Yarrowia lipolytica: one gene and its partner. The protein of the gene in region 1 binds, or shares a complex with, the protein of each later gene. Links are inferred from orthologs where the notes say so. Each region holds a gene or a part of one and is shown in the gene's direction. Other genes may lie near its edges.

What was found.
Region 2: YALI1_E13808g (region 1) and YALI1_F04001g share a complex: the UniProt entries of both Schizosaccharomyces pombe proteins name them as parts of the spliceosome. The link is inferred for Yarrowia lipolytica from reciprocal best matches to the Schizosaccharomyces pombe genes usp101 and frg1.

Annotation. Positions count from the first base shown.
Region 1 is NC_090774.1:1,378,244-1,383,837, reverse strand, and holds YALI1_E13808g (uncharacterized protein), read left to right. Parts: upstream 1-3,035; coding exon 3,036-4,073; downstream 4,074-5,594. Other genes in the region: YALI1_E13848g (uncharacterized protein), read left to right, coding at 1-296; YALI1_E13823g (mitochondrial 54S ribosomal protein mL43), read right to left, coding at 928-1,225, 1,416-1,540; YALI1_E13818g (uncharacterized protein), read left to right, coding at 1,988-2,602; YALI1_E13787g (uncharacterized protein), read left to right, coding at 5,095-5,594. UniProt on the Schizosaccharomyces pombe protein: Involved in nuclear mRNA splicing. Essential for growth.
Region 2 is NC_090775.1:397,022-402,278, forward strand, and holds YALI1_F04001g (uncharacterized protein), read left to right. Parts: upstream 1-3,088; coding exon 3,089-3,991; downstream 3,992-5,257. Other genes in the region: YALI1_F03973g (uncharacterized protein), read right to left, coding at 1-319; YALI1_F03974g (uncharacterized protein), read left to right, coding at 375-446, 805-1,512; YALI1_F03992g (uncharacterized protein), read left to right, coding at 2,215-2,889; YALI1_F04027g (uncharacterized protein), read right to left, coding at 4,199-5,257. UniProt on the Schizosaccharomyces pombe protein: May have a role in processing of pre-rRNA or in the assembly of rRNA into ribosomal subunits. May be involved in pre-mRNA splicing.

The DNA of each region.
Region 1 (5,594 bases):
TTGACGAGAACCTCGACTTCAAGTCCGACGAAGTGGACCCCCATACTGGACGAATGATCACACATACACTACGATACACACAAAACCAGGCTCCTCTGCCTGTCAAAAAGCTGCTGGGCAAATGCAGAGAGACCGGATCAGATATCATCCTACAGGGCCATCTGATCGATCTATTAGACAAGCTCTTTGCACTCAACCCCGAAAAGCGAATGACCCCAGAACAGGCACTCGAGCATCCCTTCTGTCATGATAGAGAGGCTGACATAGACCAGCTCGACCCCCAACACAAAGCATAAGATACAAGAGAGCAGCCACTTTGGGCATGTAAAATAGACGGAGGAAAGGCACGCATAGAAATAAGTTATTCCAGACTGTGTGATGTACACAGCTTCAATCAAGTTCCCAAGTTTACTGTAGCCGAGGTTGATGTTACCTTGCACCTTGCTGAATCTACTACAAGTATCCTTTTGACAACATTCAGGTTGCTTCTGTTTCTGTTTCCTGTTTCTGTTTCTGTTTCTGTTTCTGTTTCTGTTTCTGTTTCTGTTTTCTGTTCTGTTTCCTTTCACTCCCTTTTGCTTCCAGTAGTTGTGTTTCTGTTCATCCCTATAGTAATTGAGTGACTTCATACAAGTTGGTACAAGTTCTGTACTTATGAGTACTGTACTCGTACGAACACTTGTAGTACAACCGCTTGTTTGCCTCGTACAAGTACTTCTCACTTGCGCTCCACGATATATCGTAGTTAGAGATCGTCGGAGTGCCGCACAATTCAACAAACGAGCTTCTACTGTGTCACAACCGTTATGGTATAAAAGCCACTTGCACACCACCATTCGCTCCATACCTCTACTATGGCGATTCGTATCGGCCATTGTCCTTCGCTCTTTCACCATCTTTCGCTATGCTATAATTTACTATGTACATTTAAATCTTGTGTCGTGCCTTGGGGTCGGTATGGTAAGGAGACCAGATACCTCGGACACTCTCGTTTATACTTTCAACGGGGCTCTTCATCTGCTTTCGGGGAGCTCCGTCGGAGCTCTTGAGCATCTCAAACTTGCCGTTGATGAATCGGGGATGCTTGTTCTTGCAGCAGATGGTCTTCTCGGCACCGTTGACAAACTCGCCTCGGATGAAGGGGTGGCCAATGTCCTTGACAGCCACAAACTCGATCTCGGGGTTCTGAGCAGCAATCTTCTGCAGGTTCTTGTCCAGGTATTGTCTGTGTTAGTGTGATCTGAGACGCGGTGGATGTCTGAATTCAAAGACCAAACAAAGATGACACGTCACACCACACGCACTGGGTAGCATTCTGCTCTTCATCTAGCACCCCACTTGTGCCACTGGCATGTCTGTACCTCCATCTATGTCCGTGTCCAAGTCACAGTTCAGTTCCCCGTTGTGATACTCACCTCATTCCGTCGGAAGAGCCACCCCAGTTGCAGTACCGGAAAGTGACCTTCTTGCACTGAAGCACAAAGTTGCCGACACCGTTGAGGTTTCGGGCAACAGTCTGGTAAGCTGGTCGAGCCGACATTTTTGTGTGTTGAATGTAGATATTTCAGATTGATCTGTGCGTTGCGTTTAGGCTCCTGTAATTTTGCAAAGGTAGGGTAACTGTGGAGGCCCGAAGGGGGGGAGGAGTAATTCTTGGTAATGAGAGACAATTAATATGAAGGAGAGCATTTTAAATGGAAGAAAAACAACAATAGAGACAGTGTGGATTCTTCCATACAATAATTACCAATATTAGAAGAGCTTGAGGGGGTATTGATCTGCCCTTCAGAGTTCAACTAAGCCAAATACAGTTACTAATGTTGGGGCATTTATTAGTTAGCTAATTGTCAAACGTTTACTTAGCCTTCTCCCGCCTCTTTCGACTACCGCCACTGAAGTCATCAACAAGGTTCCAATGCAGAGCGAATCAAGACCAAGCTGAAGTCGTCTTGAACACCACAACTCACTCGCTCTCACGACAAAAACAATGCTGCGAACACGAGCCGTCGGAATCTTGTCCCGCTCGATCCACACCTCTCGGGTGTGTGCGAAAAACGTCAAGCTCGAAAACCCGTGGTTCAAGGGCGAGGGACCCATGGAGCGAACCAAGCGAAAGCTCGAAAACACGGCTGCTCGTCCTGGAGGAGCTCTGGCCGAATACGATCTCTACGGCGATCTTGAGACGGCCCACAACAACGTGGAGGCCGTGCTTTCCAACGGCTTTGTGTTCAAGGACGACAAGGTGCTCAAGAGCAAGTCTCCCAGCGGAAAGAAGCCCGTTGGAGCCATTCTGATGGGCCTTTCTGAGGTGCTGGCCTGGAACCTTACTCCCGAGTGCGTCAAGGGTCTCGATACCGGTCTGGTTGAAATCGATCCTGCTGCACTGGGTGTCTTTGAGGTTGTCTACCCTCGTCCTGAGCTGCTCATCTTCGGCCTGGGAAAGAAGTCGCGAGTGCTGTCGCCCAAGACCCGAAACTATCTCAACTCTCTGGGAATCTCCGTCGAGATCTCTGACAGTGCCAACGGAGCCAAGAACTTTGATCTTCTGGCCACCGAGCGTCCCGGTCTTGTTGCTGCTGCTCTCTTTCCTCCTGACCTGTGATTAGAAGGACAAAAGAGCAGCAATGTATATAGTAAAGTATTTATTTGTGTATCAAGGGGAGGGTGGAGACGGTAGTATGAGCGGATGGTCAGTATAGTACAAGTACAGTGTACTTGTTATTGCAAACAGCCTTGTAGCTCGCTGATTCTTCCTGGGGCACACTGTAGGTCTGAAAAACTCGATCACGTCTTGAAAAGTCTTCTTCAGAAGAATATATCCAAAAAAAAACCTAGAAAAACAAACTAGCGACGATATTCTGTTCGCTTTCCCCTTGTATTTACTTCTTCTCTACCTTTCTTGTATAACTCTCTTCAATCCCATCTCACTTCACCCTACTCACGATGTCAGATAAACTTCTGATGCACAACACTAATATTTCAAACCAACATCACGACCATCAACATCACTACACACACTAACAGCATCCATAATCATGGTGAGTATCTGCGCGACATTTGCTCTGCAATCAACAACAAGGCTAACCCAGGCTGAATTGGAACGGCTACCCCCTCACATCCAGCGGCTCTTCCCCGAGTGTCCCGAGCCACGGTACCTGGAGCCGATCGACTATGCTCCTGAGGACCGAAGAACGCAGAAAATCTCAGGCGTTTCGGCGTATATGGAGCTGTTGAAGCAGCCCGATTCGGAATACGTGCCGACCGAGTCGTGGCTGGTCAAACAGCAGCGAGAGAAGCGGCTAAAAAGTGAGCGCCAAAAGGTGACCCAGCAGGAACGAAAAGAGGCATGGGATCCCAAGAAGGACGACAAGATTGTGGGCGATCCGTTCAAGACGCTATTTGTGGCGCGTCTGGCGTTCGACGTGACTGAAAACGACCTGGAGGAACATTACATCAAGTTTGGGCCTGTCAAACACGTACGTATTGTACGGGATCTAAAGAGCGGCAAGAGCAACGGATATGGGTTTGTCGAATTCCAGGAGGAAGACGATTTTCGAAAAGCATTTCAGATGACCAACGGATCGATCATCAAGGGCAGAAAAGTGGTGGTTGACGTCGAGAGAGGCCGTACGGTCAGTGGATGGCTTCCTCGACGACTAGGAGGAGGAAAAGGCGGAAGACACTACACAAAGGAGTCTGAACGCAAACCGCTCGGTCCACCAATGCCACCGGGAGGAGCTGGAGGACGGGATCTGTTTCCAGGACACAGAGACCGAGGTGGGCCCAGATCAAGAGACCCTAGAGGATCCAGACCTCCGGAAGACTACAGAGACTCGTTCAGAGGACGGGGCGGAGGTCGAGGAGGACGAGATTTCAGAGACAGGGATCCCCGAGATCGAGATCCACGTGATCGAGACCGAGAACGAGACCCTCGTGACCGGGATCGAGAACGACGACCTCAATACAGAGACAGAAGTCCTCCTCGAAGAGAAAGAGATAGAGGGGACTTCAGAAGAGGGCCAGCTGACAGAGGAGGAGACAGAGGAGGACGAGAGCCTACAAAGTATTATTAGGCTGAAGGTATACACGGCATGTAAATATATAGCTGTATTATTATAGTATTTTGCGCATTCAGATGAGATGGTAATACAAGTATGCACATACTGTAGTCAACTGATGGTAATGTAAGTAATAGAGCATGGAAAAGATATGCCGGAGGAAGTTCAACACTTGCTTCTAGGGAAAAGGTATGATACGGACGAAGACTGCTGGCTCCACTCACCCTAGTATATCAGCCTCTTAATTTCTTTCCCATTACTACAGTATTATCCACACTTATGAAAGAGCTGCGCAGTAAATGGCCTCAAAAAACACCACATTAAATGTCGTCAAACAAATTGCATATCAAACACTTCTGACGGATATTTCTGTTCTTCTGGCTGTTATACTTGTCCTCGTAGACCAAAATATATTCCCAATTACAGAAGTTGTTTTGGCGCCCAAATCAAACCTAGTGAGCCTCGGTCACACAACCAGCCATCATAGTATAGTGGTTAGTACACCACGTTGTGGCCGTGGAAACCTCAGTTCGATTCTGGGTGATGGCAAGTGCCTATTCTTTTTGCTCTGATCTGGATCAGACATGTTTTGTAGGCGAAATATGGAACCACTTTTTAGAGGGCTACATTTTGAAGTTTCATTTTCGCCCTAACCCTGAATCAGATTTTGGATAATGTAGCACAAAAATTAGCTCCACTAAAGCTTTTATTAAGCCATCATAGTATAGTGGTTAGTACACCACGTTGTGGCCGTGGAAACCTCAGTTCGATTCTGGGTGATGGCAGCATCATGCTGTTCCAAACAAGCAGGTTTGATTCCTGCAATATGTTTTTTGTTTTTTGAAGATTCTTTTCATTTTTTCCCCTTGTTAACTGTGGTAGAAATCAAAATGAACCAGTCTTACATTCGTAATATTACCAATCCGCTATTAGTATATGAAAACCGTCAGAGTAGATTCAATCAAAGTTCGGAGATGCATGAAATTTCAATATCGGAGAAGTTTGAGATCGTCTTGAACTACAAAAACCACAATCCATGTCTGACGTTGAGCAGCTCACCTCGTCCAAGCTCGGTACCAAACAGTACTGGGACGAATTTTACAACCTCGAGAAGAACAACTACGCCGAAAACCCCAACGATTCTGGAGAATGTTGGTTCAGTGACTCTGGAGCAGAAGAGAAGATGGTGGACTTCCTTGTTGACGAGGAAGAGCAGGGCCAGGGCGAGTCTCTGATTTCCTTGGACTGTAAAATGTGCGATCTGGGCACAGGAAATGGACGACTGCTGTTTAGTATCCGAGAGGGGGGATTCACTGGTCACTTGACTGGGCTGGACTACTCTCAGCCTGCTGTGGAGTTCTCCACCAAGATTGCCGAGCAGGAAGAGATGGAAAACATTACTTTTGAGCATGCGGATTTTCTGGGAGATGCCGCTATGTGGTCGACTGGCAACCGACAATGGGACGTTGTGCTGGACAAGGGTACTTTGGACGCCATTGCCCTGTCTGATATTAAGTATGAGGGCAAGACTGGCGT
Region 2 (5,257 bases), on another chromosome or scaffold:
AGAAAGTGGCTGTCTTTCCCGTTCCGGACTGTGCCTGTGCAATGGTATCTCGACCCTTGATGATCTGTGTGATGGCTCGAGACTGGATGGCAGAGGGAGCCTCGAAGCCGTACGCGTAGATTCCCCGCAGAAGGTCGTCCTTGAGATCCATCGACTCGAAGGTGGGCGTCACGTCCACGTCCTTGGACGTCTTGAACTCCAGCTCGTCATCGAGATCTCTATCAAACTCGGCCATAGTAGTTAGTGTGCGTGTTGCAGTTGTAACCTGAATCCTTCTTCCCTGCAGTGGTACATTTTTTTCTTCATAAACTTCGTGCATATCAAATCTGCACTGTGGAAGCACCTTATCTGAACTTTTGATACTCACAACGACAATGAACCACCAGGACCTCAACCAGCTCAGAAGTCTTGTCGTGCTTGTTGGCGGCGGTCTTTGTGCCGGAAAGGTGAGTATTACGGGTCTAAAAGGGGGAAATGGATTGTGAAAAGTAGCAAATCAGGATTTGAGATGCACGTTGTCGTCGGTGGTCTTGCAAACAGGCCATCGAGGAAATGATAAAGACAAGTCGTTGTTGCTGATCTGTATCACTCAGTTGTTGACTGTGATCTCCATTGCGGCAGTCACGTCTTCAGCTCATATACATCTAGCCTATAAGCCGATGTGGATGCTTGTCTCGAAGACTACCGGTCCAGCTCAATCCGGCCCAGCTGTGTGCCGATTGTTTACAACTTGTCGTCTGAGTGACTTTAAAGCTGCTGCCTCAACTCATGTCATACGGCCATTCACTACCGTTACTAATCTAGAAAGAGGTATGCAAAGCCGTCGAAGAACGCATCGGCGAGCTAGGCAAGCTCCGAAAACCAAAGGTGCACACCATCCACATGAACGACTACATATACCCCGGCCACGATCCCAAATACAACGATCATCCTCGTCGATTTGACATTGCTCGTCTGAAGAAGGATGTTGATGAGCTTAGTGTGCTCAACATTGAGGCTGGTGCCCTGGAGTTCTCAAAGACAGCCACCTACAACGAGTCACGACACAATCTCAGCAACTATGTCGACACATACCACCCCAACTGGCCCCATGTGGTGCTGATCGAGGGCTACTACGCTCTGTACGACGAGGATCTGCGCAGGCTGAGCAGCATGATGATTTTTGTCGATAGTGACGCTGACATTCGTCTGTGCCGGCTCGTGGAGAAGAAGGCTGATCCTTCTGGTTCCAATTTGGCCGAGGTGCTGGATGACTACTTTACTCACTCGCGAGTCGAGATGTCCAACTTCATCCTGAGCACCAAGGAACACGCTGATGTGGTGCTCCCTAGAGGAGCCGAGCCCATGGGCGTCAAACTTGTCAGTGTGGGACTGTTCAATCGGCTGAACCAGGAGGTGATGAGCATTATTGAGGGCGAGCCTGTGGAAAAACAAGAACGTTTGAGGATCCAGAGTAAGTGGGATTTGAGAGAAGAGCATTTGGATCAGACGCGGTATGTGGATCTCACGTAACACGTCTCAATCACATGTCCTAACACACAAGTCCGAACACCCAAGTCCGAACACACAAGTCCAAGCGTAGCCATTGTTTCTACAACACACTGCTTCAAGGCAATATACAAGAACTACTTGCACCAAATAACCAATATCGCATTAACAAGATATATTATCATGTTGCTGTAGCAACTACTTGTACATACTGTACGCGGCTCTGATATGTCATCAGCCGATATACAACTGTTAACACGTGAAGACAGGTGAGACTTGGTGGGGTAGTTCTATAACGGTGTCTCTGCTTTAGCTTGGGTTTCATTAGACTAACTTGGACTACAAGTGTGTAAACCTATGGAGATATTGTAACGGCTTTAGTCTAACTTGGAGACATGTGACGGCGTGATCTAAGGAGTACAAGTATTGAATATCTATACAAGCAGGAGATGTATGTGAAAACCGCATAGATGACGACATTGTAAAAGTGCCGTAGTTTCATTACCCATCCATAACTATATCACACTCTATATCTATATCTTTTTGTACTGTCCCCCACATTTCGCTTATTTCGTTCCATCTCAGACCCTACCCCGCTGTCTCAGCTTTCATGTGCCCCTCGGAATGCGTGGATGCAGCCGTTAGGTCCGTGCTCCAAACCATATTTAATATGGGGAAGAGGAAGTTGCTCGAGTTGGAAGAGCTCTTGTTGCCACCTCCCTGCACATGAACTCGCTCGCCAAAGTCGCCCTGGCAGCGTATCTCGGCGTGAATGCCAAAAACCTGCTTTTCGCCTGGCACGTCCGTTTCTTCTACTACTTTTTCCGGTACCTGTTTCTACCGGAAAACCTGCTGGGGTACCCCGAAGCCGAGCTGCCGAAGACGCCGTTCGAGGAATGCCGCTACGACTCGCGATGCAACCTCCTGGAGCTGGACATCAACATCCACAAAAGTAACGCCACGTACTTTGAGGATCTCGATAGCGCCCGAACCAAGCTCATTGTGTGGGTGCTCAACCGGTTCCTCAAGGACTCCAAGAAGAACGATGGCTCGTGGGCCTTCATTCCGATCGGATCCGTCTACTGCAACTTCAAAAACGAAATTGCCCCGTTCCAGAAATACACCATGGTGTCGCGAGTCATTGGATGGGACCACAAGTGGTTTTTTGTCGAGAGCCAGTTTGAAATGAACGACCCCAAGAACCCCACCATCGCGGCGACAGCCATCACAAAGTACGTCATCAAGGACGGACGGAGAACTGTGCCTCCGGGCGAGGCGTTTCGACGGGCCGGATACAGCGAGGAGGATCTGGTCAAGGGCATTTCGGAGTTTAAGCGTCTGGGTCTCCAGCGGTTTATTGATATTGAGGAGATTGGGGCTACTCCTAGAGCCAAGTTGTGATGCGATAGATGATGGTAGAGTCTTCAGTGGATTTGAGTAGACATTTATCAATTCCAAGTACTACAAATTTTCAAGTAGGGTGAGACAAATCAATTGCTGTTGGTGTAGTTATAATAGCTCCTTCCTTTTTTTTTCTTTTTTTTTTTTTCTTCTTTTTTTTTTGTTGTGCCTTTAATATATCGTCTCACAATGCACAGTAATGCACGATACATCTCAAACTGAAACACAACATCATCACCATCAAGAGTCACGACGAGTCTCCAAAATGGTCAAAAAACTCTCGTTCAAAGGCGACAAGAAGACAAAGAAGCCCAAGGCAAGCTCGTCCAAGGGCAGCGACAAAAAACGACCCAGAATCGACCCAGTTGAAGACGATCAGGCAGCGGGATGGATCTCGGCCAAATCGTCAGAAGAATTCCATGGACCCACTTTGTTGGTGACTACCAGTGAAGGCAAGCCATGCTGTTTTGTGTATGAAAATAGCGGCGACGCAGAAGACAAAACCCACTCTCCTACAATGGCAGTATCATTCGACCTCGATACAGTTGACAAGAGTCTCGACACAGCTGAACCGACATCTACACAGCAAGTTCTCCTTCTCTCGCCGTTGGAATTCGACACAAATAAACGGACAATTGATATCGACGAGACGGTGGCGAGGTTTGCTCTCAAAGTTCCGTCTCTGGGCGTCTTTCTGGGCGTGGATAAGGCTGGAGTAGTCTCGCTGGACAGTGTTGCCATCGGTACTCCGCAGCAGTTTACTTTCAAAAGAGAAAAAGGCGACGCGGGGGTTTCGTGGACGATAAAAACGTCCTATGATGCTTATATTGAGATCAAGAACGGTAAGATCAACCTTACTGAAGATGGAGCAAAAGCATCAAAGTTCACAGTAAGACTTCAATCGTCTCACAGAAAGAAGACCACGGCCGAAAAACAGGCGGTGACATACTATGCCATGAGTACAAAGGCCCTGGAGGAGCGTGCTGGAAGATCTCTTGATCCTGATGAGGTTGTCAAGTTGAAGAAGTCTAACAAGGAGGGTAATCTGAACGAGGCCTTGTTGGACCTGAGACAGAAAGGCAAGAGTGATACGTATTGCTAGAAATCTGGTTATGCGAGTGCCAAAAACTACCAAAAACTCCAAACTCCCTATCTATAAGCCATATTGTGTTCCGTCCTGTCTCCCACGAGCTTCTGGTCCTCACTACCCTCGACTTCTACCGTGAACACCTATCCTCCAATACTTGTACTCGTTTCTGTGGTTTGGTTTGGACATATGCATATAAATAAAAACTAACTAATCATCTCCTTACGCCGTCACAATAGCCCATTCACCTTCGGAACTAAGTACCTTCTCCACATCTTCCTTGGGCAGCTGTAAAGCTGTAGAAATAGCGTCAAAGTTTTTTGGCTGCTTTACGAGCTTGGCCAGGACTCCATCTACCTCCTCTTTCTTGATTCGCTCCTGATCAGGGCCCAGACCCACTCGTCGTCTTCCTCCCCGAGGAGTTGCGGAAACGTCCTGCACGTGTCTGTTTCTGTTGAAAGGAGTGATGCCTTCCAAAATGGGATATGAATGAGCTCTGTAAATAATACCCTTGATAACGCCAAAGGTGATGAAGCGCCGAATATCAATGTTGACGAGCTCCTTTTGGTTCTCTGCATACCAGTCGCCGAGAGTTTGGCCCTGATGCAACGACTTGTACAACTTGAACAGTTGTACAACGGAGGGAACAGTTCCTGACATGGAGTGAGAAGAAGAGAACGAGTTGGACCGCTGAGAAAGAGACGATGATGATGAGGTAGACAATGCAGATGTGGCCGACGAAGACAAAGGAGGAATACTCAAGTGCCCACTTTGATCTCTCATCTGGCGCTCATATCGTTGTCTGAAAGAAGTTGAGAGTTCATTCGAAAACAAGCTGGTTCGTGACATGTGTCGTTTTCTATTGAGTCCTGGAGCAGGCATCATGCCCCCGAGGGTTCCTGCAGGTGAAAAGACATAAGCCTGGCATTCTCGACCCATATCTGCGTCTTCAATGAAATCTCCAATGTCTGAGGTGGGAGCGTAAATGTTGGAGAACTGGAACAGGTCCACGATGATGATACATCTGTAGTACATGAGCTGCTGAATGCAATCCTTGGTGAGGTTGTAGTCTGCATCTGCGAGGTCTGCAATCCGACGAATGGAGTTGATCCCATTGATAAACGGCACAATCTTCTCCATGGTGGGATCCCAGTTTTCGTCCACCATTTGTTCCAGACGTACAGTTGCTATGGGAACGTACGACGCTCTGAGGTCTGGAGGCGACGGGAAAATGGGAAACAGTTTAATGTTGATGGCGTTGGAGTCGTTGATGGCCACGAG